5 linked regions of the Xenopus tropicalis genome follow. The main gene of each other region encodes a partner of the protein of the gene in region 5 in a complex. Links are inferred from orthologs where the notes say so. Each region holds a gene or a part of one and is shown on either strand. Other genes may lie near its edges.

Evidence for each region.
Region 1: stx7 (region 5) and vamp7 share a complex: the UniProt entries of both Homo sapiens proteins name them as parts of the SNARE complex. The link is inferred for Xenopus tropicalis from reciprocal best matches to the Homo sapiens genes STX7 and VAMP7.
Region 2: stx7 (region 5) and stx5 share a complex: the UniProt entries of both Homo sapiens proteins name them as parts of the SNARE complex. The link is inferred for Xenopus tropicalis from reciprocal best matches to the Homo sapiens genes STX7 and STX5.
Region 3: stx7 (region 5) and bnip1 share a complex: the UniProt entries of both Homo sapiens proteins name them as parts of the SNARE complex. The link is inferred for Xenopus tropicalis from reciprocal best matches to the Homo sapiens genes STX7 and BNIP1.
Region 4: stx7 (region 5) and bet1l share a complex: the UniProt entries of both Homo sapiens proteins name them as parts of the SNARE complex. The link is inferred for Xenopus tropicalis from reciprocal best matches to the Homo sapiens genes STX7 and BET1L.

Annotation. Positions count from the first base shown.
Region 1 is NC_030684.2:65,373,241-65,379,595, reverse strand, and holds the start of vamp7 (vesicle-associated membrane protein 7), read right to left. Parts: upstream 3,487-6,355; 5' UTR 3,455-3,486; exon of another isoform or gene 3,453-3,454; coding exon of another isoform or gene 3,449-3,452; intron 3,443-3,448; exon of another isoform or gene 3,157-3,442; intron 2,508-3,156; exon of another isoform or gene 2,327-2,507; intron 640-2,326; coding exon of another isoform or gene 632-639; coding exon 486-631; intron 1-485. UniProt on the Homo sapiens protein: Involved in the targeting and/or fusion of transport vesicles to their target membrane during transport of proteins from the early endosome to the lysosome. Required for heterotypic fusion of late endosomes with lysosomes and homotypic lysosomal fusion.
Region 2 is NC_030680.2:36,552,309-36,558,450, forward strand, and holds the start of stx5 (syntaxin-5), read right to left. Parts: upstream 3,794-6,142; 5' UTR 3,725-3,793; exon of another isoform or gene 3,702-3,724; intron 1-3,701. UniProt on the Homo sapiens protein: Mediates endoplasmic reticulum to Golgi transport.
Region 3 is NC_030679.2:43,443,348-43,449,615, reverse strand, and holds the start of bnip1 (vesicle transport protein SEC20), read left to right. Parts: upstream 1-2,485; 5' UTR 2,486-2,515; coding exon 2,516-2,599; intron 2,600-2,678; exon of another isoform or gene 2,679-2,915; coding exon of another isoform or gene 2,916-2,945; intron 2,946-3,862; coding exon 3,863-3,955; intron 3,956-5,360; coding exon 5,361-5,452; intron 5,453-6,200; coding exon 6,201-6,268. UniProt on the Homo sapiens protein: As part of a SNARE complex may be involved in endoplasmic reticulum membranes fusion and be required for the maintenance of endoplasmic reticulum organization. Also plays a role in apoptosis.
Region 4 is NC_030680.2:24,000,643-24,006,930, forward strand, and holds the start of bet1l (BET1-like protein), read left to right. Parts: upstream 1-2,606; 5' UTR 2,607-2,699; coding exon 2,700-2,718; intron 2,719-2,955; exon of another isoform or gene 2,956-3,017; intron 3,018-4,962; coding exon 4,963-5,054; intron 5,055-5,490; coding exon 5,491-5,547; intron 5,548-6,288. Other genes in the region: sirt3.1 (NAD-dependent protein deacetylase sirtuin-3, mitochondrial), read left to right, coding at 292-504. UniProt on the Homo sapiens protein: Vesicle SNARE required for targeting and fusion of retrograde transport vesicles with the Golgi complex. Required for the integrity of the Golgi complex.
Region 5 is NC_030681.2:70,299,777-70,306,042, forward strand, and holds the start of stx7 (syntaxin-7), read right to left. Parts: upstream 3,521-6,266; 5' UTR 3,413-3,520; intron 1,691-3,412; 5' UTR 1,625-1,690; coding exon 1,546-1,624; intron 755-1,545; coding exon 685-754; intron 1-684. UniProt on the Homo sapiens protein: May be involved in protein trafficking from the plasma membrane to the early endosome (EE) as well as in homotypic fusion of endocytic organelles. Mediates the endocytic trafficking from early endosomes to late endosomes and lysosomes.

The sequences.
Region 1 (6,355 bases), on a different chromosome or scaffold from region 5:
CAAGCTTCGGTATCGTGACTTTCCTTGGGCCAGGTTGGAGCTGCAGAGTACCATTGAGTCCTATGGGAGGCTTCCAAAATCATGCACAGAAGGATCAAAGTCAGAAAGGTTTTCCTGCTGTTTATGATCGTTCGGATCGCCAAAACGATATTATCGTGACTAATATAATTTATTTGTAAGCATTTTCGTGTTCATCAGAAATTATTGTATTTAATCAATTCGGGATTCAAACTCATACTTTGATGAATAGACCCCTAAGCATGTGAATGTTGCAGAACATTCTAACAGAATCCAAGATACAGAGCTCCTGTGACAACTATGAAGGCAGAAATCATTACTGATAGAGATGGGGAACCTTTAGGTTCATGTAGTACGTTTAGTATATAAAACACTGAATTTCTAGCCATAGCGGTTGGTAACCCATTGGTAACTCTCTATATAAAATTTCCCCATTGATAAATCCATAAAAACATTAAACAACAGACCTTCCATGGGAATAAGTGAGTTTGTTGTTTTCAGATGGGATCTTTGCTAGGATCTGCTCCGTCACCTCCAAGAAGTTCCCACCGCACCAAGCATGTTTTGCAAGTATGGTGGTTCCTCTAGCAACAACAGCAAATAGGATAGCCATGCTTGCACCTGAAACAAAAAAAATAATCCAGGTTAGCATAGGTTAGGAGGAAGCATTTGTCAGTCTATTTACTTACGATAAAATCATGTGAAACATAAAGCTCCAATTGTTTTTCCAACTATTACACTTAGGGCTGTGACACATGGGGAGATTAGTCGCCCGCAACAAGGCAACTTCCATGATTTCGGGAAATTGTGGCGCCGTGTATGCCATCCCATGGGCGGGATGGCGTTTCAGGGAGATTAGTCGCCTGTGACAAGGGAGATTTGTCGCGGGCGACTAATCTCCCCGTGTGCCATAGCCCTTATAGTGCTTACACACTAAATGGAAGAGTGTTAGTGCTTCATTTACATTAGAGAACCCAAGGATGATTGCACATATGTATATTATTAGCCTCTGCCAACATGCAAAGTCTGCATTCAAAAAACATACTAAACACAAGCTGTCTGTTCCAAGCATTCCTCATCCACTCTCATAGCTATTTTGTAATATTATTATCTCTTAACAAGTAGCAAGGACACCATGGCATTGTTGAGCACAAAGCTGGTATTGGCATCCTATCACCTTCTAATCTAATGTTGTGAATTATGTTATGCATGTTCATATATACATGCTCCACAATTTTTGCATGCATTTGTGTTAGAAATTGTGGGGGCAATTGGCAGCAGCAACCTTAAACAAAATTTTAAATGGGATTTCTTAACTATTAGCAGTTATTACACAATTAGCCTTAGAAAACAAAATGCTGCAACTTCCCCAAAAAATGCTTCTGCCCACTTTTAGGCAAGGGGGTGGATGTGGTTACTGTAATTAGCTTTATTACAGTCACTAGAGCACTATATCTGGGTTTCAGCTTGGGTCTTGCAGGTAACAAGTGCAATGCAATAATCTTCTGCTCAGTACTGGGACTTCAATGGATCAAGCTCTCTTTCTAAATATTTTTTTTCATCAAATACATCACAACACAGCACAAAGCTTGCTTTGAATTCACTAGCATAATATAAACACAGGGTAAATACAGAAAATTTTACTTCAAATACTCCTCACTATTCCTCAGAACATTTGCACTACTTACTGATAACCAGTTGGCAGAATAGGTTCAGGAAGAACTGAACAAATAATGCACCACAAAGTGGGGGGCTTTAACCAAATATTTGTCAATGAAAATCTTCTGTTTTTTCTAAGGATTTTATTTCATATTACATTGTAGTTATAAATGGTCAGTCGCTGAAATAGCTCCTGAACCTAGTGAAACAAACATATGGAGACCACTTAAACTACATCAACAGACTGTGACCAAACCTAGAACTCCTTCACTGAAAAGAATCATCGCAAACAATTGCTTTGTTGTTGGAATAAGAAGTGTCAGCACTCTAACTAAAATCCACAGCACAGGTTTCAGCTGAGACAGGGCTAGTGGCATGACAAGTTTTTCGGGCATGAAAACAATTTATTTTTAACTTTACTTTTTTATGAATGCTCTGCAGATTTGCTAAGACATCTAACTGTAAAACAAATTGTGCTGGTCTGCTTAGAGAAACATGTTTATTTGGTGAAACAACCCCCGGTTTCCAAGAAAAAGGTAGAGAGGTTGTGTTGCATTATATGGGCGAGGCCCTGAATTTTTCATTGTAAATGCCTATACACAACCTCTGTTTTCATTATAAGAGAGTACAACATTTAAAGAGATATTACCTAGGTTCTTCAGAGTGACAGCAATGTGGCATTTCCTGAGAAGAGCTCTTATTTCTTTAGGAGCAGCAATTGAGAGGGTAACTAGGAGAACATGTGATGCTTGCAGGGCTTTTAATTTCACTGGCCCCTGAGAAGGGAGATTAGGATGTTAACCCACACCAGTGAACCTGACAGCTCCCATGGAAGGAGTGGGGCCATCTCCTGAGGGTTGACAAGCACAGGAGAAGAATAGAAAGAAATGTGCTATTTGTCAATTTGCAGGAAGCATTTTTATGATAGAATTGCCCAGATTGCAAATGTATTTAAACTGCGTGATTAAAATGCTAAGCAAGTAACTGGCTTCACAAAACTTAGGTCCCACTGACTCAAGCACGAAAACAAAATTCTTCAGCCTACATACTGCCATCAATCCCTTACACACTATGGAACCTCACACACTGCCATATATATAAACAGGTATGCACACATCGTGACTAATATAAAATTGGTAAGTATGCTAAAGTGATACTGACACCAAAAACTAATTTCAAAATATGAATATACATAAAAGTTCCCTATAGGTTGTGTTGACGGTTTTTCGCTGACAGGTTTGGTTTTGTAAGTAATTGTTACTTGAAGTTCCTAAACCTGACTGTTTTGCCAACCTGACTGTCCCTTCCCAACCTGTCAGTTACAGCTTCTAATGCTAACAGACAAATATGGCTGCCCCCTCATAGAGGAACACAGGGGATCAGACAGGTAATGTAAACGCATCAGGCAAATATTTTTATGGCAAAATTATAAAGTTCTTGCAAAGACAATGTTATGATAGATGTAAAAAAAAGATTTACTTTCTGGCGTCAGTATCTCTTAAAGCAGGAGCAACATCAGGCGGGAACAGTAGTCCCAGCACCCGTAGGTTCAGCGGTGTTGCCCTTACTTGGATTACTGGCCGCTGCTGTCAGTGACAAAACGAGCAAAACATAAAGCTGTATATGTGTAAGAACATGCACCCTAGCTATCCCCTCCCTTCTGAAGTCTGCAGCTCACTGACAGCAAGGGGGCGGCTGATCCACGTAAGTACAAACTGCGCAACAGTCCCGACTTTCCTTAAACAGCCCGCAGTCCCGGTTCGCTACTTACACATACCGCAAAGCTGTTAGCTGCAAGCGCCTCACTTCCTATCTCACGGAATAGCCTGACGTCACAACTGCACGTAAGCGCAAGGACGCACACGTAGCCGCCATGTGGGAGTGACGAGTAGAGATGCCGTAATTAAATTAGACAATGAGAAGCGGCTAGAGGTGGCCATAAATCCGCTCCCAGTCCCACAAAAAAAAAATAGAAAAAGAGAGTTTTCGTGTTGGTTGTCCGCCGTGTTTTCAGACATCAGTATTTCCTCAAAAGAGATTTACATTTTCATCTTAAATTTTCAACTTGGGCCATTGCTAATAAAAAGGAAGGAGTTTTTATGCAAACTAGAGCAAAGTCAAATAATGAAATCATCTTTTAGTTTGTCGTTTGAGGGCCCCAGTATTTTTATTCAAGCCAGGGGCAGTGGAAGGGCTAATTTAGGAAAAGACAATGGGTTAAATTGACCAAACGTTTCCTGTGGACTTTTATTTGTGTTGGTTCCCTGTCATTTTTGCGCTAGGTAGTTCCAGGGCACCAATGAAAACCAGTGCTGGAAAGGGTGTCATGGAGGAGTTAGATCACACCGACTGTCATCCATGGTTACCCATAAACAGACTTTCGGTTATTTTGAGTTCTGGTCAGTGTGAAAACAAGGAGAATATGTTTTTGCAATTTAGGGGCAACGTATGAGTTAATTTAGGAGAATCTAATGGGAACCAGCAGTAATCCTCAGCTGTTAGGCTCTACTTTTATGGTTATTATTAACATTTATTTATAAAGCGCCAACATATTCTACAGTGCTGTACAATAAGTGGGTTTCATACATTGGACATACAGAGTAACATATAAAGCAATCAATAACCAATTTTGGAGGCCAGACATTTTTTCCTGCTGTCATTTGAGCCTCTTCTAATCTGACTAAAAAGGAAACTGTTTTTGTGCACACGGGCCAGATAAAAACTTAATTTAGGGCCAGGTAAAATTTAGAGTCTTAGGTAAAAAGGCTTGTTTGGGCACTTGAGATGGAAAGTTGGCCCTGTGCCATCTTACACATAAGAATGAACAAGGTTTCTGTAAATAAAAAAGTTTAGTTGAATTGTTAACCAATGGCCAAACAGCAACAAATTCATGGGCTGAAACCCCTCAAGCAAATGCAAAAAATGCATACCTCCCAAATGCCCTGCATCGGCTTCTCTCCACAGGGGGAGAGACACAACGAGGCAAGTCTTACCGCACACTGAGCAATTTCTCTGCCAGTGTAAAAATACTTCTTGTATTTGCATTTTTTGCACAGAATCTGCCAATTGTGTGTAGTGATAGGTAGGTCTCAGTCATTTCTGTCGCTACATACATGGGATGGATATGGAACAGCCTTTTCTCAGCAGAAAAAATATCAATTGAAATGAATATCTCTGATTTAAGCATAAGAGCATGTATGCAATTTTGGCCTGAGCTGCTTCTTTCACATCCTTATGTGAGTATATTGAAGGGTTCAATCTGTTTTAACCATTAGGCCAAGGGGGGGCTGATAATTTTGTTGTATGGGCCCCATGATTTCTGATGGGAGCCCTGCCTGCTTCCCTGTTGTACAATTACATGCACATTCAAAGTTTCAGTAACTCTTCTCAAAGTTTTCTCTGTATCACAAAACAGAAGAAAAAAGTCATGCTGATATACAGTTAAAGACCCAGAGTAAGTGTACAAATCAGAATTCACTTAGTCTCACATCTAACCCCACTCCCTGGGCTAAAGTTGTAAAACCAAACAAAGACTGAAAGTTATGTTCTCTCTTCCCTTCCTGGAATTCACATTAGCAGCCAAATAACATGTGCCCAGGGGGCAACAGCATCATGGCCTCAAAATAGGAGCGGTACAGGAGGTGAAATTCACTAGCTATGAATGGCCTAAAAGAGCCTGGGGCAAGGTTGTCTTTGAGCATATTAGCCCACTGGTCCTCCCTAATCTTATCTCTGCTCCCATTCCTGTGTTAATATGGGAGAGCAACACCCCTAGTCCCACCACATAATATAATACCTTGCTTTCTTTCCCTGGGTGGGGTGTATTGTGCCTGAGTTTGGCAGCTTCACATGACAGCATGTGTGATCTGCAGTGGAGATCAGTTTTATTGGAGTCGGCATATTGCACAGGAAAAACTAAGCAAGTATTGCTTACCATGTGACCACTAGATGGCACTATTTGATTAAAGTGCATTGATGATAATTCACTTTATTTGATAGTAACATTTTAGGTCTTACTCATACTGGTAGTTACTTAGATAGAACTATGAAAATACATAATCAATTTTACTTAGCCATCACTTTCTATAACTACCTGTATACTACAGTATGTCTAAATCAGGGCTGCCAATAGTGATTTAGCAGCACCTCCTCCCTCAAGGACCCCCCAGCTCAAAATTTAATCTCTGTCTCTCCTCTGCCATGGGGCCCTTCACTGCAGTACCCCCTGGTCTGAAAATACACTGCAGTGTTTACAAGAGGGCACAACATATGAATTGTAATGCAAATTTCCCCATCCTATTGTTGGAGGTCACCTTTGTTTAGGCCACAGTATTCTAGGGTAGCTTCTTGTATCCAAGAAGTTCAGTTCTCAGCACCCCCTGTCAAATGCAGTAACATGGCTTTATTATAGTTATTGCTTTTGGCAATAATAATATAACTGCAGAGCTGAACTACTGAAAATCATATGAGCTTGTTTATTATTTAAAGCATAACATTTCTCGTTAAAGATCAATGTTTTTGTGACCTTTTGTATTCATATTCCGCTTCCCTAGTGAGCATTGCCTATAAACAGGCATAGATACTGGATTGAGTTGCATTTGTTTCACAGTAGCAAGGAGGGGAGAGTGACAATGATGGAACTTTATTTAAGGAATCTAAAAAAAAATGTTGTAAACTT
Region 2 (6,142 bases), on a different chromosome or scaffold from region 5:
ACTGTGTGGGGTCAAATTTTGGATATCCTACAACTATTTACACTGAAGGAAAGAAATTCCCAAAACGATGCTGACAAGATAGATGCACCATCCCAATCTGAAAAGGGGTATTCTATTTAAACACTCAATGTAGAGTAACATTTTTAAAATGAATATTAAAGACCACACTAATATGCCTGGAGTGCCAAGAGCTAAAACAGACAGCGCACAAACATGTGGTATGTACACTAATGCAGTCAGGAATAAGTGAAAAGAGAATAAGCATAACAAGGTAATGGAAACCATTAAAGTAACATTAAAAAATGAAAGTGTTTTAAGGTAATAAAATGTAATATACTTTTGCCCCAAGATGCTGTGTGTTTGCTTCAGAGAGGTTACTATAGTTCATATAAATAAAGTTTCTGTATAGCCATGGAGGTAGCTATTCCAGCAAGAAAAAAGGAGAAAAGGCACAGGTTACATTGCAGATAACAGATAAGCTCTGTAGAATACAATGATGTTTTACAGTGCTTATCTATTACCGGATATGTAAACTGTACCATTTAGCCCTATTTCAGTTTAAATGGCTGCCCCCATAGCTACACAACAGCTTTGTTTATATAAACTATAGTAGAGTTTCTGAAGCAAATGCACAACAATACATTACATTTTAATTACTTTGATTTTCAGTAGTCCAATAAAAAGAAACCAAGGGATGCTCTTAAGAATATTGGCATACAGCATTGACTGCATTACATGCATCAGAATACATTTTTATGTAAAACTCCAGTCTTGATCTCAGACATGATGTTATGCTTTGTATGTGTTATGTTATCTGCCCATGTATGACCAAGCAGGCTGGACATTTATCATGTACAAAACATAAAGTACTTAGCACCTCCTTTGGGGAGAAGCGTTCTGAAGGAGGCCCACCAAATAGTACCCCAATGGGGCCAACAGCAATGCTTTCTTACTTTTTAATGCAGAAAAATCTGGGCCCCACTTGCCAAGGCAGGTAATGTAATAATTGCCCAATAAGTTGGTTTCTGTGGAGTGACCATTTATTATTAGAGCCATGGCCAGCCAGAGAGACAGACAGGTAGTTACAGCCATAGGCAACAAGACAGCCAGGTAGTTGCAACCATGGCCCGTCAGGCAGCCAGGTAGTTGCAACCATGGCCCGTCAGGCAGCCAGGTAGTTGCAACCATGGCCCGTCAGGCAGCCAGGTAGTTGCAACCACGGCCAGACAGGCATGAAGTCACAACCATGGCCAGTCAGGCAGTTAGTTACAGCCATGGCCAGTCAGGCAGTTAGTTACAGCCATGGCCAGTCACTTACAGCCAGGTAGTTACAGCCATGGCCAATCAGACAGCCAGGTAGTTACAGCCATGGCCAGTCAGTTACAGCCAGGTAGTTACAGCTATGGCCAGTCAGACAGCCAGGTAGTTACAGCCATGGCCAGTCAGACAGGCATGAAGTTACAACCATGGCCAGCAAGCCAATAGTTACAGCAATGGCCAGCAAGACATGCAGTTAGTTACAGCCATGGGAAGTCAGACAGCCAAGTAGTTACAGCCATGGTCAGACAGCCAGGTAGTTACAGCCTTGGCCAGTCAGACAGCCAAGTAGTTACAGACTTGGCGAGTCAGACAGCCAGGTAGTTACAGCCTTGGTCAGTCAGACAGCCACGTAGCTACAGCCATGGCCAGTCAGACAGCCAGGTAGCTACAGCCATGGCCAGTCAGACAGCCAGGTAGCTACAGCCATGGCCAGTCAGACAGCCAGGTAGCTACAGCCATGGCCAGTCAGACAGCCAGGTAGCTACAGCCATGGCCAGTCAGACAGCCAGGTAGTTACAGCCATGGCCAGACGGGCAGCCAGGTAGTCACAGCCATGGCCAGTCAGACAGCCAGGTAGTCACAGCCATGGCCAGTCAGACAGCCAGGTAGTCACAGCCATGGCCAGTCAGACAGCCAGGTAGTCACAGCCATGGCCAGTCAGACAGCCAGGTAGTCACAGCCATGGCCAGTCAGACAGCCAAGTAGTCACAGCCATGGCCAGTCAGACAGCCAGGTAGTCACAGCCATGGCCAGTCAGACAGCCAGGTAGTCACAGCCATGGCCAGTCAGACAGCCAGGTAGTCACAGCTATGGCCAGTCACACAGCCAGGTAGTCACAGCCAGGTAGTCACAGCTATGGCCAGTCACACAGCCAGGTAGTTACAGCCATGGCCAGTCAGACAGGCATGAAGTTACAACCATGGCCAATCAGACAGCCAGGTAGTTACAGCCATGGCCAATCAGACAGCCAGGTAGTTACAGCTATGGCCAGTCAGACAGCCAGGTAGTTACAGCCATGGCCAGTCAGACAGGCATGAAGTTACAATCATGGCCAGCAAGCCAATAGTTACAACCATGGCCAGCAAGCCAATAGTTACAACCATGGCCAGCAAGACATGCAGTTAGTTACAGCCATGGGAAGTCAGACAGCCAAGTAGTTACAACCATGGCCAGTCAGACAGACAGCCAAGTTGTTACAGCCATGGTCAGTCAGACAGCCAGGTAGCCACAGCCATGGCCAATCAGACAGCCAGGTAGTCACAGCCATGGCCAATCAGACAGCCAGGTAGTCACAGCCATGGTCAGTCAGACAGCCAGGTAGTCACAGCCATGGCCAATCAGACAGCCAGGTAGTCACAGCCATGGCCAATCAGACAGCCAGGTAGTCACAGCCATGGCCAATCAGACAGCCAGGTAGTCACAGCCATGGCCAGTCAGACAGCCAGGTAGTCACAGCCATGGCCAGACGGGCAGCTACAGCCATGGCCAGTCAGACAGCCAGGTAGTCACAGCCATGGCCAGTCAGACAGCCAGGTAGTCACAGCCATGGCCAGTCAGACAGCCAGGTAGTCACAGCCATGGCCAGTCAGACAGCCAGGTAGTCACAGCCATGGCCAGACGGGCAGCTACAGCCATGGCCAGTCAGACAGCCAGGTAGTCACAGCCATGGCCAGTCAGACAGCCAGGTAGTCACAGCCATGGCCAATCAGACAGCCAGGTAGTCACAGCCATGGCCAGTCAGACAGCCAGGTAGTCACAGCCATGGCCAGTCAGACAGCCAGGTAGTCACAGCCATGGCCAGACGGGCAGCTACAGCCATGGCCAGGCAGACAGCCAGGTAGTCACAGCCATGGCCAGTCAGACAGCCAGGTAGTCACAGCCATGGCCAGTCAGACAGCCAGGTAGTCACAGCCATGGCCAGACGGGCAGCCAGGTAGTCACAGCCATGGCCAGTCAGACAGCCAGCTAGTCACAGCCATGGCCAGTCAGACAGCCAGCTAGTCACAGCCATGGCCAGTCAGACAGCCAGGTAGTCACAGCCATGGCCAGTCAGACAGCCAGCTAGTCACAGCCATGGCCAGTCAGACAGCCAGCTAGTCACAGCCATGGCCAGTCAGACAGCCAGGTAGTCACAGCCATGGCCAGTCAGACAGCCAGGTTAGTAGGTATGCGGCGTACTCAAGATTATCTTAACATCAATTCTCACCCAGTGTAGTGATTATCACCTTTAGTGTCATTAGACCCCCCCACAGGCATGACGTCACGGAAGGCAAGCCCCCAAAATCAAACCCTCCCACAGAATGTGGGCAACAAACTATGAGCCCAAGGAGCCCCTTACTGGACCCCGCGCCCTCACATTATAGGAACAGAAACAAACACACCTCCCCCTTACAGTAAATCTCACCGGTCACCGCTTCTCTCTTACTCCCTCTCTCTTTCTGTTTCTGCCGGGGAAAATGCTGACGTCAGCGCCACGTACACACACGTCACCGGCTCCTGTACTTCGCGAGTCGCACTCTGAGTGCGTCAGTCCGGAGGTGTGTTTCTAACCCGGAAGTGTGCGTATTAGTAGTGGAAAGGTTGCCTATAGTAATACGTAGGCGTTATTGTGGAATGGCGTTTCTTTTTAGCTAACTCTAAGTGGCCTTACAACCATGTAATTAATGTCATGACCTTGTTAATCTATCCTAGCATTCTAAAGTGGATATTAATGGGCAAATAAATTCTACTTTCAGCAGAGTACCATATGGCTTTAGGTTATTCAATTGACTTGGTAAATCTGTGCTACCTCAGATGGAAGAACATACCTAGTTTTCTTGCCACCAGCAGTAATGTGAATTGCTAGTGAGAAAACATGCATTGTGAAGTAACCTGGAGCTGCTTTGTAAAGGGGCTGTGCAGATTTACGGTGGACAACAAATGTCCCATGTGCCTTTGCCCTGAGACAACTTTGGAAGCAGAAGTGATGCATATGTGTTCCCAGTACTTCCAACAAGAAGGAAGCTAGGGACGTTTTGTCGCCCATTGTAGCGCAGATTTACCATTGGTGACAAAGTGCCCTGTGTGACTTTGCCATTAATGCTATTACTTGTAATACACCAGCTGGGAAGGACCTGAACCAGTTACAAGGGTAAGATAACACCAGTATCATATTTGCAAGGTTGCATTGACCTAAGGGTGGGGCCTTGAAAAAAACATAAAACTGGACTGGAGTACTGGAGCCTATAAAACATAAAGACTCAAAGTCCTGCTTGATTGTATAAGTGATGCATGATTGTGACGTTAAAGGAGACATATCCTATAAAAATTAAGAATGTACCAGTGAATTATACTCCTCTAGATATAGAAGGATTGTGCTTAAAAAAAGTAGTGTTTCTGACTGAGATTTATTGAGAAATTCCACCAAAACCCCACTAGTCCTGCCCATCTGTTCCACTTCCTGCTGGCTACTTTCACCATTCCCCAATATTTCAACTGCCAATCCAAAGGGGTCATTTACCTAGCCACATGTGAGTGTGGTGCTCAGTATGTGGGGAAAACCATTCGTAAGGTTGGAACTAGGATTCTGGAACACTTATCAGCCGTAGAGAGAAAGGACACGAGATCAGCGATAGCAAAACATATAATAGAGAGACATGAAAGTAGTAATCATGTGACCTTTCAGATTATTGATAGACCTAGTATAAGTGTTAGGGGAGGTGATATAGATAAGAAACTTTCAGAGAGAGAGGTCTTTTGGATATATCGGTTGAAAACAACAGAGCAATATGGGGGCCTCAATAGATGATGGGAATTATCCTGTTTCTACTGATAATCATGTGACCACACCGCTATATAATTGATTAATATTTTTGGAAGCAGTATGTTTATATGTATACTTTTAGTTTAGTATTGTGGTCTGACAATTGGACATATAATCATATATATACAACTTAGAAACAACTTGTAACAATATTTAATACATGTGACTTTTTTGATCTATTGTTACTATTATTATTACTACTATCATCATTATTGTTACTAATACAACACCTAAGCTTACCTAAATGATGTGTGGTTTGGAGGGTACAGTTTTTTATAATTGATAAGCACCCGGGTGGGTGCTCTTTATATGTTTTTATATATACAAGGTTTTCATCACGTCTATGGACATATATGTGCTTGTTTTTCACACTTCAGGGTTAACAGTGAGTTGCCAATTAAGAATGGGTGTGTGTCCTATCTATTTAAATTCAAATGGAGGGTGTCACAATTTGGGCTTCTGAGGAAGTGGTGTTACCACGAAACGCGTTAAGCTAAAGAGGTGAATATGCTCTGACCTGTTTTTAAATGATGAAATAAATTTATGTTTTTATTTCTAAGTTTTTCTGTGCTCCGCTTCTTTATCACTTCCTGCTGGCTGAATTCTCTGGATGTGCAGGGGAGCCGGTGGCACTCAGTACACTGCACTGTAGGATAGGAACCAACCAATCAGCAGCTAGGCTGACCTGATAGGGAACTGAAATCTGTCTTTGCTTGTGTGACTGCAGGGCTGTGATTGGCTATCCCTCTCCTGCTGTGCTTCTGGCTGGAAACATTAGGACACGCCCACCCCTCATTTCAAACACAGAGAACTAATAGGATCTATAGGGAGCTCCAATAAAGGGGCCATTTTTACAAATAGGATTAATTTTTAGCACAAAGTAAAACCAGCACCATATATTATATATTATAATTGCCTACAAAATTAGGGGTTTTCCCATTGATCCAATATGTCTCCTTTAAAGTTATATGGACAATTACATGTATTTTAGAGAAAGCTTACAGTGTCACCTGAAACATT
Region 3 (6,268 bases), on a different chromosome or scaffold from region 5:
GGATAAATCATATAAATTGGAGAAACCTGGGGAGGAAAACCTATATTAAAAAGCATGTAGGGAACAATCAATTAGATATACAGCAAAGTTAAGTAGGAATAAATGTTACATGATATCCAAACATCCAAATAAATAATGATAACACCGGAGGGGTCTAACCCCTAACGGGCCCCTCACTTAGTGGAGAGGGCAGCACTACTTATAGTACTCCCTTCAGACCGATACACACACCCCACTTAGCAAAGAGTATAAGCATACGTATCAGTATAAAGTATCCCAGGAAAGTGCAAGTGCTACACAAGACACTTCTACAGATTAGGTATATAGCCTTGTGGAGAGTTAGTCCCACACGAACTTAATGCACAGAAATAAAGAAGCCCCTTGTCCCGGCCGGGAACTTACTCGGGTATAGACAAAGGGAGGAACAGGCTCCTTGAAGCGGCTGGACGCCGTTCTCCTTCCTCCGGTGACGTCACCGGTACGAGCCGAATCCCAAAGTACGGGTCCTCCCTAGTGTCAAAAAGGTCCGACGCGTTGGACACGCCCCTGCCTTAAAGACTCTACCTCTACGTATTCCTTTACAGAATTATTTGCTAACACTGACCCTGGATGGGTAGCTTTCTTTCACCTGCTGCAGCACCACCTTCGCAGTGCTCCTAGGTAAGTGATGCCCTGGATTGGCACAGGTACAATAAACAGTCCAACAGAGACAAAACAGCACAGGCATTTGCCCCCTCCCACACTTAATAGACTCTGGAATGTGATGCCAAGCCAAGGGCAGCAAGTCACTAAAAAGTCATAATCATAAAATGCACTATGTTTGCCCAGGATCAGTAACTCATAGCAACCAATCAGCAGGTAGATGCACTGGTCAGCTGTTTAAAAGCAAACATCTTATTGGTTGCTATAGGTTACTGCTACAGGAAAAAAGTTGTGCCTTTTAATACATATGTGGGTATGAACACTGTTATAGGAATAGTTCAGTGTAAAAATTAAACTGGGAAAAATAGACTGTGCAAAATATAAAATATTTCCAATATAATTAGGCAAAAATGTAATCTATAAAGGCTGGAGTAAGCATATGTCTAACATAATAGCCAGAACCTGACTTCCTGCTTTCAGCTGTCTAACCTCTTAGTTAGTCAGTGACTTTAGGGGGGCCCACATAGGACATAACTGTTCAGTTAGTTTGTGAGCAGGCAGGTCAGATTCAAATGCAAATTAACTGAACAGTTATGTCCTATATGGCCCACTCAGGTCACTGATTGGTTATTGATTGCTAACAGCTTAGAGCTGTTCTGGCTATTATGTTAGACATCTGCCCACTCCATTTTCATTTTTACACTGAACTGTTCCTTTAAGATAGTCACAAGGAAAATTATAGACTAACCAGGCAATTATTTTAAACAAAGGAGCACCGGGGGAAGAGGAAAAGGTAAAGTACTGCATGGCAGGGCAGAAGCGATAAGAGGTGGGTTGGGAACCATACAAAATAACCCCAACATTATTTAATTTACTTGTGCCAAGAATAACTTTCTTCAGTTTTAGAATAATACAGCAGTGAATCATCAAGCAGCATTTACTTTTCTGGTCTTTAAAATTAATTATCTGATTGGTTACTAGGGGTATTTTTGTAATGAAAAAATGCAGAAAGTTGGCCAGTCATGTTTGTGCCCAGATGTGCAGCTTTCAGCCCCAGAAACATCCCTCTCAAAAGGGAGTAAAATAGATGATAGGTTCGGGACAGGTAATATTCTGAGCCCCAGATGTTGCAGAAAAACAACCACCAAAATTCTGTCCTCCCTTATCTGAACCACTGGTGGGAGCTGAGGGTTGTAACTATAGATCACTGAAGTACCATGGGCTCATGCAAAGCCTCCTATAGTTCTCCTTTCCACAGCCACATACTGCTGCCCTTACTGTACTGTACCCTTTCCACTCATACCCCGAAATATCTATTATTTTTATTATTAACAAGCATTTATAAAGCTCCAACATATTCTGTGTTTATGTACAGCAAAAAAGGGTCTCTAATGTCATTCAGCAGGAAACCCCATAGTCCAGTCTAAGCCTGTTTACATTTGAAGTTGACTGTTCACTTGCTTTAAGGGTGAAGACACACAGAGCTACTTAGTAGCAGCTAATTGTCACAGCTACTAAACGCCAGAAAATACCCTGACATAGACAATACTGAGAATTACCTCTGCCACATAGAGACAATTAACAGTAAATGATCAGCATTGTCTATTTCTGTAGCCGTGACAAGTAGCTGCTACTAGTAGCTCAGTGTGTCTTCACCCTAACACCCCTTTGAACTGAGCAGAACGTTTCTTATTGTGTGCGTTTTCCCAAAAGCACCTCTAGATGTCTCTGTGCCCCCTCATCGCTGTCCATACGAGCAAAGAAATTACCTCTCCATACAGCAGATGGCGCAAAGGTTTATTTTTGTCTTAGTCAGAGTCATCGGTGCATGGTATTTTGTCCCATTCCGCGCACCGTTGTTAAGCCTGTCGCGATGGCAGATTCGCAGGATGTCCACGTCCGAATTTGTCACCAGGAAATCGTTAAATATGACCTGGAGATCAAAGCGCTGATCCAGGTAACGCAGTGGGGTGCTGAAGGGGTGATCGCCATTAATAATACTGACTTTCTACATGCAGGAGGCAGTAGGGAATTCAGCTTACCATTAAGGGTCCGAGTTTGTAATATTCCCTATGCAACGCCACCTAGCGGCAGGCCGAGCTTACGTACCAGTTCCGAAGACTCCAAACTCAATGGTTTATGTTTGAATGCGGACTGGTGTAGCGTTACCGGCATGTACTGATAGTTCCCTACGGTCACAGCCTACTGTATGGTTTGGTTAACAGAGCCTGGCAGTTTTATTTTCCTAAATTATTACATGGGCTTCCTGCTACATGTTCCATGTACTGCACCCTAACAGTTATGTAGGTATAATACATTTAACTGGCTGATAACTGAAATAGCTATAATGCTTTCCCAGCTAATGAGCAGTGCTGCTATCAGTACTCATAGGCTCTATACTACTGAGTTAGCAGGGGGCCTCAAGTTTAACCCTCAAGTTTAACCCTTCTGTCATCTGGGCCATTATGAACCAGAATTAACACTGACATTAGTTGTTACCAGTGGCATAAAATAAGGTCAGGCTTCCAAGCAAAAGACTTTTCCGGGCCCTCACATGTTGGGGTGAGAGCCACTTACACCCTCGGCCACATAGTGACCACCACCTTCGCCTCCATGCTTGCAGAGCCAGAAGTAGCTGTAACCATACAGCAGGCCATCTGGATATCTGTATGCTAGTTAGCCAGTGAATGTTAGTATATCTTAACCAAAATGTCAAAATATCAGCACCCAGTAATCAAGTCTTTGTCACCAGTAATATCTTTGTATAGAATAACTTCCTAAAGCTGATACCTCAAGAGAACTGAATCCAAGTGATTTTGGTCACACTTATGGCACACCAAGCCTGGGATTCAAAATAGGCCCTGGCACTTCAAGTACACAATGTCCCAAACAGTGTCTGTCTATGGCTTCTTACAGCAGCCCCTCTGGCATTTGCCAGAATCCACAGATTGCCAATCTGGGCTTTTTGCACACCCAACCACAATTTATTATGCCTTGACTACACCCACTTACAACCCAACTTTATCCTTGGCTGGAGGCTGGTGGTTACTACCAGCATATTAACTGTCATTTTTTAATGACGTTTGCTAGGCATCTCATGTGCCACTATGTCATTTCAGTTTGGGAACAGCACAGCAGATGGTACTTTCTCATTGGATCCTTATCCCCCTAGCTCTTCTGTATTGTATGTAGACGTTTTAAAATGATTTGTCTTTTATAGGACATCAGAGAATGCCCTGGTCCTCTAAGCACCCTAAATGATTTCAATGCTCAAGTCAAGGAAAAATTCCACCTGCTGAGGCTGAGAATACAGGTACATTGTGTAATTTAGTAAAGACATTGCATTTTTGAGGGAAAAACTGGCTAGGTAATTAGAAATTCTTAACCACAAGAGAGGTTGATAATAAGTAATTGGGGCCTCTGCCCTATGATTAAACTATATTTTAAAACATTAAAAGTCCATTTACTGCCTATAACAGGGATCCCCAACCTTTTTTACCCGTGAGACACACTCAAATGTAAAAAGAATTGGCAACACAAGCATGAAAAATGTTCCTGGGGTGCCAAATAATGGCTATAATAGGCTATTTGGTAGCCCCTATGTGGACTGGCAGCCTACAGAGGCTTTGTTTGGCATTATATTGGGTTTTTATGCAACCCAAACTTGCTACCAAGCCAGGAATTTAAAAATAAGCCCTTGCTTTGAGGCCACTGGGAGCAACATCCAATTGTTTGGGGAGCAACATGTTGCTCATGAACCACTGTTTGGGAATCACTGGCCCATAATATTGGGAGCCCTCAAAGCAAAGCATATTATTCGCTCAGAGTTTTTTTCTAAGCACTTTTGCAAAGTACATTTTTTCTACTTTCTCAGTTATTAGAAGTTATTTGAAGTGCTGATTATTTTAGGCCAATGGGCTAAAAGTGGCTAAAAATGAATTTCCTGAGAAAAGAAACATTTTAAGGTGTTGCTCTCCCTAGAACTGATCACAGAAACACCAGAGACTCCACTTTCTAAGCAGAGCATCATTACAAAATGTTTCTTATCTCAGGCAATTCATTTTTAGCCAACAGTAGCCAGTCACAGTAGCCAGCCAGCTGAAATATCCAGCAGGTGGCGCTGTTGTTTCAAATATGTTATATTAGCCCAGTGATCCCCAACCAGTGGCTCGGGGGCAACATGTTGCTCCCCAACCCCTTGGATGTTGCTCTCAGTGCCCCCAAACCAGGTAGTTATTTTTGAATTCCTGACTTGGGGGCAAGTTTTGGTTGAATAAAAACAAGATTTCCTACCAAATAAAGCCCCTGTAAGCTGATAGACTGCATAGAGGCTCCCTAATAGCCAATCACAGCCCTTATTTGGCACCTCCGTTAACTTTTATGGTGCTTGTGTTGCTCTCCAAGTCTTTTTACATTCGACTGTGGCTCATGAGTAAGATAGGTTGGGGATCCCTGTATTAGCCATTTCAAAACAGCTAATCTCTTTAAAACTAAAATAAAAATAATTAAAAGTAGTTCTAAGAGTACTTTGCACAATTTTATAGTCATTTGTCTTGATGGATTACAGTACTTGTTTACTTGCTTGGATTTACAAAAAAAAAAAAACATTTTTGCATGAATCATTGCTCATCACCAAAAGTGATCACCTTTAAAGTCATCCAGGTAATAGTTTTCTAAACCTATAATTGGTGATATACTTCTTTGTTATTTTGGAAAAGGATTTTGAACAGTTGGCTAAGGAGCAGGATAAGGAATCTGACAAGCAAGCATTGCTGAAGGAGATGGAGTGCCACAAGAAACAGATGTTAAGGTGTGTATGGTCTGCTGCTTACATCTTGAGCTGTGCGAAAAATGGCCCCATAGCTTAATAAATAAATGTTATATAAAACAGGTGAAGAACTTTTCTTGCTTGCCTCTCAATATGTTTACAACACAAGGTTAATCAATATTGCTCTGTAGTTGTCCTACAAAGCTGTCCTGCAGTTGCTCATACATGTTTTGGCTGAGACATACTCTCTCTCTGCTTTCCCATTAGCCCACATGTTGCTGGGTGAATTCTAAGCTCCCCAAGGGAATTGTTGGTCAGTGACCAGTACTACACACAGTTCTACTTTAGTGAAAGGTGGCTTTGTGGTATTTTGCTGTGCTAATTAAGGCTGGGAATCTTTGTCAGAGACCCAACATCATGGGGAACAACCCCATGCCTACCTTCAGCACCTTGACCATGTTGTGCTGACTCTGAACTTTGCACCCCTTTCTCGGTAACTAGTATGAATGACTAGTGGCCCTATTTTAATGCTTCTTACAAATAGGGAGGTGGTGCTGGAATTTGTTACAGGTGAAAATAATTCAACCTATCTTTTAAAAATAATCTTTTAGATCATTATAATAATACAACCAGTGTATAATTTCAATCATCTACCATATCTGCCTTATATGAGGTTGCTCTTGTAAACTCTGCCAAATCTTATGCCTTTCATATTTGATTGTGTGTGCATTTTAATTTTTCTTAAGCAAAATTAACAACTGCTTTTCATCCATTGTGATGTTGATTTCAGCAACCAGACTGTGTGGCGAAAGGCAAACCTTTCATGCAAGCAAGCAATAGATAATGCAGAGAAGGATG
Region 4 (6,288 bases), on a different chromosome or scaffold from region 5:
CTGGTCAAATAGACAGATACCATGGAAGTGTATGGGCCCATTTCTGTTGTTCTAGTCATACGGTAGACAGCCCAAATGGTTGGGACAGCAGGAAGTCAAAGGAGGTGTTTCGTTTCCACTTCACTTCCTCATCTGCCAGTGCACCGTATACCAGCACATATGATGCATAGTACTGAAAATTAGTTACCTATGATTTTATTGATACCTGTATGCCCAGCTTTCCCCTTCATTCTTCTTGCAGACACAACTGTAAACAGATAATATCCAATGTTATGTTGCACTTTTTTTCAGGTGGAGCCATTTGCCAGTCTGGTTTATGCAGTCCGAGCATCAACCCCCCGTGTCCTCATTAACCGTGATTCCGTTGGACCTTTTGTAAGTGGCCCCCAAGGGCTCAATGTGCTGGAGCTTGGAGAGGTGACAGCTGGAATTAAGCAATTTGTGCAGTTTCTGGGGTGGCAGCAGGAGCTGGAGGAGCTTGAGAAGAATGGAAAACAACACTAACAGCTTGTAAACTCAGAGGAAAGAGTTCAGTACCGATCAGATCCAGGGGGGAATGAACAATACCTTATTTATCTTGAGTTCAAAAACCACACACATCCACCATAGGGAACAAAGGTTATAAAAAAAAATGATGTTTTTTATGCTATATAAATGATCAATGGACCTAACAATTCCTATTTATAAACATCCAGTACTGTGCTGAACTCATATTATAAATTACTTTTAAACCTGAAAGAACTGTATAATTTGCATCAGAGATACTTTTTAAATACTAAATCTAAACACCATCTTTACCAATCACTCCTAGCTTTATTAGTTTTAAAGTGCAGAACTACAATATCCAGAATCCTCTGAAAGTCTCTTCCTGTTGTATCATGTAGTCAATATTCCTTCTAATAAATGCACACAAATTGTGGCTCAAACAAAGTATTTTGGTACATTTTCAGAATCCCCCACCTCATACAGTGATCCCCAACCAGTGGCTCGGGGGCAACATGTTGCTCCCCAACCCCTTGGATGTTGCTCTCAGTGCCCCCAAACCAGGTAGTTATTTTTGAATTCCTGACTTGGTGGCAAGTTTTGATTGAATTAAAACAATATTTAGTACCAAATAAAGCCCCCTGTAAGCTGATAGTGTGCATAGAGGCTACCTAATAGCCAATCTTAGCCCTTATGCGGTCCCCGATCCGACTAAATTTTTTAAACTGCCCGATCGATATCTGCCCGATTTCAGGCCAGGTATCGGTCAGGCAGGCCCGTCGTTATTGCCCCAACATGGGCCGATGAGCTGCTGAAACGGTCTAAGGGACCGATATCGGCAGCTAGTATCGGCCCGTGTATGGCCATCTTCAGGCGGTACATGGTATGAGATTAGACTGCATGTTGGTATCTAAGGTAAAAGACAGACAGGACAATTAAAAACACAATCACCGAAACTAATCGACATAATGGATATTTCCATACATGAACATACAGGTCGCCGCCTGTGGAATTTGCTGTATGGGACAAGTCAGCATTGTTATAGCCACAGTAGTCACATTAGTCACGGTGACTAATCGCCCTGATTTCCAACACCAGCACTAAGACATACTTTAAAGAACAGTAACACCAAAAAAATGTATGTATCACAGTAGTCACTATATTTTGTACCATTGCCCTGCACTGGTAAGTTGTGTTTGCATTAGAATCTCAACTATATTTTATATAAACAAAGCTGTATCAAACTGAAATAAGGCTAAGGGCTCTGGCACACGGGGAGATTAGTCACCTCGCGAGTCTTTTTCGGCGATTTCGTGAAATCGCGCCGCCGCGTGTGCCATCCCGCCGGCGACTTACATGTTCACATGTTCGCTCATGGCAACTCGGGGAGATTAGTCGCCCGCGAACAGGGAGTTTTGTCGCGGGCGACTGATCTCCCCGTGTGCAAGAGCCCTAATTGACACAGGTTACACAGCTGATAATAGATAAGCAGTGTAGTTTCCCATTGTATTCTAGAGAGCTTATCAGTTTTTTGTCTTTTGTCCTCTTTTTTTTTTGCCACCTTTTCTGAAAATAAATACCGGCCTTCCTATATTTTTATCTTTTTTTTCTAATAATAACATTGGCACTAAGCATCATTTTTACCAGACAGGTGGCAACCATAACCCCAGGGCTACACAGCAGCTTTGTATATATAAACTAGAGTAGGGTTTATGAAGTAAAAGAACTTTTACTAGTGCAGGGAAACAGTACATTATATTTTAATTACTTGAAATAATTTTCATTTTTTGGTGTCGCCATTCCTTAAAGCACTGGAAGCCTTTTTTGTCACAAACTACATTGAGAGAGGCTCCAAATTGGAGAATATGTGGGGGGAGTATTGAGCTGTAATGTGTAATCTGCTTCCACTGTTTTTGTTGGACCACAAATCCCAAGATCCCCCAAGAGATTCGCCATGTGGGGCGGAGCTAGCCACAACACACAAAGTAGGAGAAGCAAAAGGAGTGCACGTTTCACTTTATTTTTTTTATATTAGGATAATTCGGATAAACTGCTTCCATGGCAACAGCGAACGCCTAAACATTAATAGGCGTGGCTTAATGAGACAGTCCGTCCTTTCTTGACGCACTGACGCAAGGTTGAAGCGTATTGGTGGCTGTGAGGGTGACGTTAGTGACGTGTAATATCCTGCCGCGTCACATTTAGAAGAATCCAAGATGGCGGACTGGGGCAGAGGTACTGGGGTCTAGGGTGCTTGTGTGAGATAAATACGTGTGTTATGTAGGATATCAGTGCTCCCTGAATGCCGAGAGAGTGGGGGCAGCGGCCTGGCAAACAGAGAAGGTGTTTGCGTGGGATTCGCTCTGGGATATTAAGCGTAAAGCAAAGGAACTGAGAGGGAATCTATGCTGGAATTAATGTTTGGGGGCGGTACTCTGTCCTGGGTGGGGCTCTATGCTAGGGGTGGTCTCCATGGGGGCTGTATGGGGAAGTACTCTGAAGGCCTTTGGTGGGTGATTTCTCTGTTAGGGAAGGTCAGTATGGGAATGTGCTGTATACTCTGTACTACACAGTGTTCAGGGTGCGGGGGTTCTACTCTGTGTAGACTGAGACTGTTCTAGGAGTCATTAGAGAGTCGTGGGGGTCTCTAGTATAGTGTTGCAGTCTGTACCAGTCTGTATAGTGTTGCAGTCTGTACCAGTCTGTATAGTGTTGCAGTCTGTACCAGTCTGTATAGTGTTGCAGTCTGTACCAGTCTGTATAGTGTTGCAGTCTGTACCAGTCTGTATAGTGTTGCAGTCGTACCAGTCTGTATAGTGTTGCAGTCTGTACCAGTCTGTATAGTGTTGCAGTCTGTACCAGTCTGTATAGTGTTGCAGTCTGTACCAGTCTGTATAGTGTTGCAGTCTGTACCAGTCTGTATAGTGTTGCAGTCTGTACCAGTCTGTATAGTGTTGCAGTCTTACCAGTACCAGTCTGTATAGTGTTGCAGTCTGTACCAGTCTGTATAGTGTTGCAGTCTGTACCAGTCTGTATAGTGTTGCAGTCTGTACCAGTTCTGTATAGTGTTGCAGTCTGTACCAGTCTGTATAGGTGTTGCCAGTTGCTGTACCAGTCTGTATAGTGTTGCAGTCTGTACCAGTCTGTATAGTGTTGCAGTCTGTACCAGTCTGTATAGTGTTGCAGTCTGTACCAGTCTGTATAGTGTTGCAGTCTGTACCAGTCTGTATAGTGTTGCAGTCTGTATAGTGTTGCAGTCTGTACCAGTCTGTATAGTGTTGCAGTCTGTACCAGTCTGTATAGTGTTGCAGTCTGTACCAGTCTGTATAGTGTTGCAGTCTGTACCAGTCTGTATAGTGTTGCAGTCTGTACCAGCAGTCCCCAGTGTGAGGGGAGTTGGAGATCTCTCTGCTCGTTACTGGGCTGGGGAAGTGTATTAGTGTTGTGCGTGGGTACGGCACCATAAGCAATGATTTCCTGTACTTATAATAATAATATTATAATAAGCACACATTTGGGTGCCTCTCTCTTCTCTTGTTGATATCTGAGGGGCTGTTGTAATAATTTCAGACATAATAGGGGTGGGGGAGGGTTTCATAGGGCTCCAGGTTACTTTCTTAGTGCGTTATAGTCGGCTCCTTGAAGGGGAATTGCTATAAACTTAGCAGTCTCTGAGCACTTTTGCAGTGTGCATTGATTTTCTAGTTTTAATGGTTTGTGAGTCAGTAGCAGATACGTGCTGCCAGGAAGACCTCGGCTCATCAGCTCTCTTTGAATGCCCGAAAAGACTGTGGCCCTGACTGTCTATGCATTTGTAGTTTCTTTTAACCCTGGGGTTTCTGAAATGAATGTATATTGCAAAAAGGCCCAGAGAAACTCTGCCCATATGTGACTATGGCCATATCGCACTAGGATCTGCCTTGCCATGGCCAGATATATATTGATATATATTGAAATTGGCTTTATTGATTATGTTAAATGCACGTCACACATGAGGACTTTAGTCTGGGGATGTGTTTGTGCATTAGGTGAGACAGCAGTCGGGCATCCTGGAAATCCCTTCTTACATCCTGACAGTCTCATTCTAGTTTCCACTCTCGTGATTCAGGGCCGGCACCACTGTCCCTTCCCCGCGTTGTTGGGCCGGCACCACTGTCCCTTCCCCGCGTTGTTGGGCCGGCACCACTGTCCCTTCCCCGCGTTGTTGGGCCGGCACCACTGTCCCTTCCCCGCGTTGTTGGGCCGGCACCACTGTCCCTTCCCCGCGTTGTTGGGCCGGCACCACTGTCCCTTCCCCGCGTTGTTGGGCCGGCACCACTGTCCCTTCCCCGCGTTGTTGGGCCGGCACCACTGTCCCTTCCCCGCGTTGTTGGGCCGGCACCACTGTCCCTTCCCCGCGTTGTTGGGCCGGCACCACTGTCCCTTCCCCTTCCAAAAAAGAAAAACCTGCCATTCAGTTGCTCTTTGTTTTTTTTACAGGGCCAAATTCAGGAGCAGTGGATGAGATGTTGGATGCAGAGAACAAACGGCTGTCAGAAAATCTTTCTTCGAAGGTGACCAGGCTGAAATCAGTAAGTAGGAGTGGTAGATATTCTACAGGAATAAATAACTGATGTGTAGGCCTCTATTCACAGCGCCTTTCTCTTTTGCCTCTCTAACAATTCCTACTATATGCATAAAGTACAGGGCACTTCTGCCTCTCTAACAATTCCTACTGTATGCATAAAGTACAGGGCACTTCTGCCTCTCTAACAATTCCTACTGTATGCATAAAGTACAGGGCACTTCTGCCTCTCTAACAATTCCTACTATATGCATAAAGTACAGGGCACTTCTGCCTCTCTAACAATTCCTACTGTATGCATAAAGTACAGGGCACTTCTGCCTCTCTAACAATTCCTACTGTATGCATAAAGTACAGGGCACTTCTGCCTCTTTTGCCTGGGCTCTGTTCCTGCATAATCACTCGGATATCACAATCTGTTCCTTTTTTTTTTTTTTTTACAGCTTGCACTGGACATTGACAAAGAGGCTGATGACCATAACAAGTACCTGGATGGCATGGTAAGACTCTATAGATACTTCGAATCCCTGTACAAAACAGTCTGTTCATTATCTGTTGTGTGTGTATATATATATATATATATTTATAATAATTATAGTAAAGGTTTAGGATCTGTTATCCAGAATGTTAGTGACATTTTGTTTTCCATAATTTAGAACACCTTAAGGCTACTACAGAAAATAAACATAATATAAACACAAGGATAGTTTAATTAGCATCAATTACAGAGACAAAGGAAATCATTAAAAAAAAAATAACTTTATGGGAAAAGTTTTCTGAATAACTGGTTTCTCACCCATTTCTAATTCTTTACGTCCAGCTTAAGGGAGGAGTTTAATGGGACAGCAATATGTACTTTCAGGATTTAGCAGAACTTTTAGTATGACATAGATAATGATATTCTGAGACAATTTGCAATTTGTTTTAAATGTATTCATTTTTATGGTTTTTCAGATATTTAGGGTTTTGTTCAGCAGTTTCCAGTTTGGAAATTCAGCAGCTATCTAGTTGCCAGGGTGGTCTTTTCCTTAGTAACCAGGCAGTGAATGAGAGGCTGGAATATAAATAGGAGAGGGACTAAGTAGAAAGTTAAGGAATAAAAAGTAACAATAACAATAAAATTGTAGCCTCATAGAGCAATAGTTTTGCCTGTGGGGGTCAGTGACCCTCCTTTGAAAGCTGAAAGAATGTAGAAAAGGAAGGCAAATTTTCAAAAACCATAAATAAATAATGAACAGTGT
Region 5 (6,266 bases):
TTTGCTTAAAATGAGGAGTTAAATGGAGAGGGACAGGTGTAGTTGTGATGGGTGGCCCCGGGGCAGTGAAATAATAAATACCAACTACTTAAAGAACACTCTTTAAGTGTGTCTAGGAGGAAAAATTGAGTTTCATCAAATACACTATAACATAACAGTGAGTGGAGAGTTGTGATTAGAATTGAATCACTGATCCCAATTTAATATCAGCTAATATCAGTTACAATCCTCAGATGGTGGTCCCCAGATAGATCACTCTTTTTGTGAGCCACAACAGTTTTCCTGTTATGATTCTCCCCCCTGATTTTAAACAGATTTTCCTTTGTGGCATAAGTTTATTTTAAATAAAGTAATAAAAGTTACATTTTATTTATTAACTTGTTACAAACCTGACTGGTCAGATTGAGTGGTGCAATACAAAAGGCTAGCTTTGTGGTTTCTTCTCACAAGAATCCCTTTCTGAGTGTTTTCTTTGATCTTGAACACTCTCTGTACATGTTCCGTCTCTTTGTAAGTGGAAAATTGGTATTAAAATTAAGAAATAGCACTAGAAAAAGTAATACTGATATGTTTTATAAAACATTGATAGGAACTGGTAAAACCCTTAGTGTGTTTCAATCACTTCAATGACTTTATTGAAAAAAAAAAAATAAATAGTAAAAAGAAAAGAAAAATTGGACTTACAGACGATTTCTAAGTTCTGCTGTGTCTTGTACAGTTCCAAGTTGATTTACTATCCTTTGTATTTCAGAAGCTATAAGGCGAATGGAATAGATATAAAAACAGAATAAAATAGAAATGTACGCATGTCATTACTGTGCAGCCCCTAAACATTATATCTGTCAGTACCAAAATGTGCCTTCATTGGGGAGAGGGAAACACTGAGCATAATTACAATCTGTGCAGTTGTACTGTATGCATATTTGAGGAGTCCAAGTACATGGGATCAGTTACAGTACCCTGGTTGGTTGCTCAAGTGACCACTGACAAAAATAAACAAAACAATGCAGCAAAAAGAAATGGCGTCATAAAAACATATCTATTTAATGAAGAAAAATCATGAAAACAAAATAATATAATAACATAGAAATATTAAAGTTTTTAAATAAAACCAGTTAAGAACTCTGTACCATTTGTGATATAAGCAATGAAAATGTCTGTTTAATTTCTAAAAGAAAAAAAAAATCAATTCACTCTTTACTATCTTCCCCTCAGCAATCAGCCTCTACATGCAAACTTTGTGTCAAAAATCTTTCACTCAAGACATTTCTATCATCTAGGCTAGGGGAGGGGAGCACAGGCCAATGATGTATGATGTATGCCTGCATTTAGAGAGAGTGCTCGTTTAAAAGGGCAGAGTTAAGAGAAACCTGACTATTTCAGAAACTATACAGACTTTTTAGTCAGTTATATAGAGAAAGTTTGTTATATCCATGACGTGACATTTACATCAAATATTTGTCTTTATGATAGTTTCCCTTTAAGTCATTTTCAGACAAATGACAAACTAAATTTTAACAACTGCTAAAAAAGACTGTAACTTACAGCTTTGTGTGATTTTCTGAATATTGCCTGATATGGTCTGGGCAAGCTGAGCTGGATCCTGGCCAGTACTGTAAGACATGGTCGAATATAGTCAACTCCACTTTTTTCTTGACGAGGTCAAGGCAATGTAGAGTACTACAGGAATCTGGAAGTGATAAAACTAAGTAAGCAAATATGCATCATCTTTCTGCATGACAGTTGTAAGCTGATGGCAATACCTACACACCTTTTGTTTGCTTCCACTACAGTATGAATCAACTTTGTGCAGCTTTGGGGTTAAAGGAACAGTAACGCCAAAAAATGAAAGTGTATAAAAGTAACTAAAATATAATGTGCTGCTGCCCTGCACTGGTAAAAGTTGTGTATTTACTTCAGAAAGTCTACTATAATTTACATAAATAAGCTGCTATGTAGCCATGGGGGCAGCCATTCAAAGGAGAAAAGGCACAGGCACATAGCAGATAACAGATAAAACACTATTGTATTCTACAGAACTTATCTGTTATCTGCTATGTAACCTGTGCCTTTTCTCCTTTTTTCCAGCTTGAATGGCTGCCCCCGTGGCTACACAGCAGCTTATTATATAAATTATAGTAGTGTTACTGTAGCAAACACACCAGGTTTACCAGTGCAGGGCAACAGTGCATTATATTTTTATTACTTTAAAGCTCTTTCATTTTTTGGTGTTACTGTTCCTTTAAGACACATGGAGCTACTAGCAGCAGCTACTCGTCATGGCTACTAAACGCATTTCTCAGTATTGTTTATGGCAGGGTATTTTCTGGTGTTCAGTAGCCATGACACTACTTAGCTGCTACTTAGTAGCTCTGTGTGTCTTCATCCTTAAAGTATCAGGTCAGTGTAAAAATGAAAATGGCCAAAACAGATTGTGCAAAATAAAAAATGTTTTCAATATAGTTAGTTAGGCAAAAATGTATCAGTGACTTGGAGGGGGGGGGCATATGGGACATAACAATTCAGTTAGTTTGCATTTGAATCTTACCTGTGTGCTCACAAACTAACTGAGTAGTTATACCCCCCCCCCCCTCAAAAACACTGACTAACTAAGAGGTTAGAGAGCTGAAAGCAGGAAATAAAGTTCTGGCCATTATGTTAGACATCTGCTCACAGAGCCTTTATAGACAAATATGCCTGACTAACTATATTACAAATATTTTTTATTTTACACAGCGTATACATTTTACCCAGTTTAAATTTTCCACTGAACTGTTCCTTTAAGCTAAAACCTACTTAAAAGGGTAATTCATGTCATAATGCAATTTTTAAAGGGCGTTACATAACTGAAGCAACTCCATTTTTGGTCCTTGGGAGGAAGATAATGATCTAATCAGCTGATCTGCAAGCCTGTCTGTTGAAAAGCAGGATAGAGAAAGACTCCCACATCTTGCATTAAATCACAGGACAATTACACAATAATTCATTAAAGGATGAACTATTACTTTTAATTGATACTGTTGTTACAAAATCATTTTACAAGGTAATTCTTTCAACATACAGTAACAGTGCTGTGTTATTTTGTGTCTCAATAGACGTATGAGAGACACTAGTGCAGGCAGAAATCGACTGGAAACACTAAGGCAGTGCAGTCACCAGGGGTAGACAAAGGGGACAGTTGTCCCGGACCCAGTGGGTATTTTAAGGGGGGGTCCGGCTGCGCTAATACAATGGATTTCCGCCCCACCCCTACTGTCAGTGAGCTTCAGACTTCGGAAGCGATTTTGGTGGCTAGGGTAAATGCATACTCTTTTCCCCTACACAACTTTCATACTATCAGTCCCGTTTTTCCTAAACAATCCACCAGTCCCAATTTCCTAAACACAGCCCGCATTCCAGAATCAACACTTACACCTTCCGCAAAACTGTCACCTGCAGGCTCCAAGCTTCCTGTTTTACTGAAAATCCCAAAGCCACAAGTCTCATCACGCGATAGTGACGCACGGCTGCACGTAACGCAATGACGCACACGTACTGCCTTGTGACAGGGGCTAGTCAGTGTAACGCAGTCACAGAGTCGTGCTGCTGTAGATCTGGCTTACTCCTACTATAACTACTTAAATAAAGAATTATTTATTTAATGAAGTGTGCGGGTATATATCAAATTGTTTAAATCAGTGTAGGTTTACTTTAACGTTCTTGTTTGCTCAATTGAGCCTCTGCAAGCTCTCTGTTTACAATTTAAATATACCCTGGTGTAATAAACAGCTTTAATTATGTTTTAACATCCTCAGCTCTAAGGATTAGATCCGTGACATTCTCCTTTTTTTAACTGACGCTGACATAAACCTGTTAAATTACATTTCCAAGGGGTATTGATAACCTAAAAGTGGTAATAGGGCTCAGAGGTGTTTGTTTAACAGCAGCAGTTGGGGCAGGTACAATGAACTGTGAGAAGGTTTCCTCTCTTGAGAATACGAAGACCCAAGTCAGAACACATAAGTGCAGGAAAGTGAGTTAGGTGCTAAGTCCATGCTTGCAAAACAGCTCATTAGTGTCTTTGCAACACCTTTAATAGTGTGTTATTCCTTAACAAATGCCTATTTTTATCCTTTGCTTAGACTGCAGGTACAAACTGAAAATTTATGACAACTGATTTTCAGTCTCTGGTTTAGTTAAACCTAACTGCTTATAAATAAATACAACAATCTTACAAACTATAATTTGTGCATGTGTACTTATTCATGTGTACTGAGAACTAGTTACAAGGTGGCAATGCTTGGCACATTTAATAGGACTGTGCTTGGTCAATTTTGAACCAGAGAACAGCTTTTTCCTCAACTGTGTGTTTGAATTTCATTTACATGATGCGCAAGAATGAAGCAAACCTCAAAAACAGAACTGAAATGACTCAAATTTTCAGTTTATTACAGGAACTTTACCAGTTAAAGAAGACATTAAAAATAAAGAATATACCAGTGAATTATACTCCATTAAATATGGAAGGATTGATATTAAAAAGTTGTGTTTCGGATTGATTTATTGAGAAATTCCACCAAAACTGGGGAGCCGGCGGCTCTCAGTACGTGCACTGTAGGATAGGAACCAGCTAGGCTGACCTGATAGAGAACTGAAGCCTGTCTTTGCTTGTGTGAGTGCAAGGCTGTGATTGGCTATCCTCCTCCTGGTGTGCTTCTGGCAAGGGACTGTTAGAACAATCCCACCCTTCATTTGAAACATGGACAGAGACCTGATAGGATCTATAGGGAGTTGCAATAAAGAATAGGATTAATTTTTAGCCACAGTGAAACCAGCTGGTGCTCCTATTAGCAGAAAATTGCACTTGCCTGTAGTACATGAAGGCGAACGATCCTCTTCCTTTCTTTTTCTTTTGCTCTAATCCTGGGGCCTGCACATATGCAGTAGAGTAAAAAAGCCGACTTCAATGTGGTTTATTTCGTGAAAACCCAGTAGAAATATACAGGGAAAATTAGTAGATAATTTTTTTATTGAACTAAATATTGCCCATTATATCTTTTATGCCTACATGGCAAGATTTAATGGTGCATTCAATCACACTATACGGCATTTATTTTATGAATGGGTGTAACTGTGTGAAATACTTCATCTGTATATAATACATAAGAACCATGAAAATCCTGTAAATCCTTATAAATTATGCTTAGTGATGTAATTTCTGTCACTTGAATCACCAAAACTTGTGTATTATATTCATTACCTTTACATTAAAGCAAGAAGTTCTAAAACCTATGGGTTGACCATTTGTCTATAGAGAACTTTCACTGCAAAAGTGATGCCTCTGAGAGAAATACTATTTTGGGCACCATTGCCATGTTTTTTTCCCCACAATGCAGCATTTTTTTCAGAAGTACAGCTTTGTTGTAATCACAAGAGGGATGTCTGATGCAATTGTGGCCCATGGGTCAAAAATGACCAATTGTGCTTGTATTTGACACAAATCAGACATAATTGTGCTGAACTAATACCACCTATAATTAAACCTGTATTTTCTTCTTCTTTTACCATTAATACTGATGGCGGGACCATAAACCCTGCTGATTTGACAAGTCTTTTTCCTTCTCAAATCATAGGAATGCCACTGCAGATTTTCCTGTTTTTCCTTCACAGTATTGCAAACCCATGCCCTTATCCTATCCCATTTAGACTATTGCAACCTCCTATAAACTGGTCTCCTAGACTAAAGCTGGCTATACATGTTAAGATTTTTATTATCGTAGGACCAGGCTTATCTTGAAACGATAATTTAAAAGTACGATTTGCCCATCAATAAGAATAACCATTTCAAGCAATATTGTCAAGTTGAAGCTGGAGAAACTACCTGCTTGGTCCTACAAACAATTGGACAATTGGCAAATTTAATTGCTAAAGGTGGCCATACACTTAAAAATTTTTCTCTCTCTAACAACCAATTAAGTTGCAATCCATCAAATATGTCAAATTATCATAAGGTTAGTGGGCACTGAACCATCTGATGGTTTTTCTAACGAAAAATTTTCAAACCTGCCCGATTTTTGATGTAGCAATTTTTCATCTGAAAATCGGTTGGGCAGGTTTGAATATTTTCCAAATGTGCAACTGTTCGGTGCTCACTAACCCTATGATAATTTGCCGAATTTGTCAGATCACACTGCAATTGGTTGTTAGGGAGAGAAAAATCTTTAAGGAGAAGGAAAGTCATTTTGGCATTTTACTGCCAGATTAGTGCCACCTAGAATGCTATATTT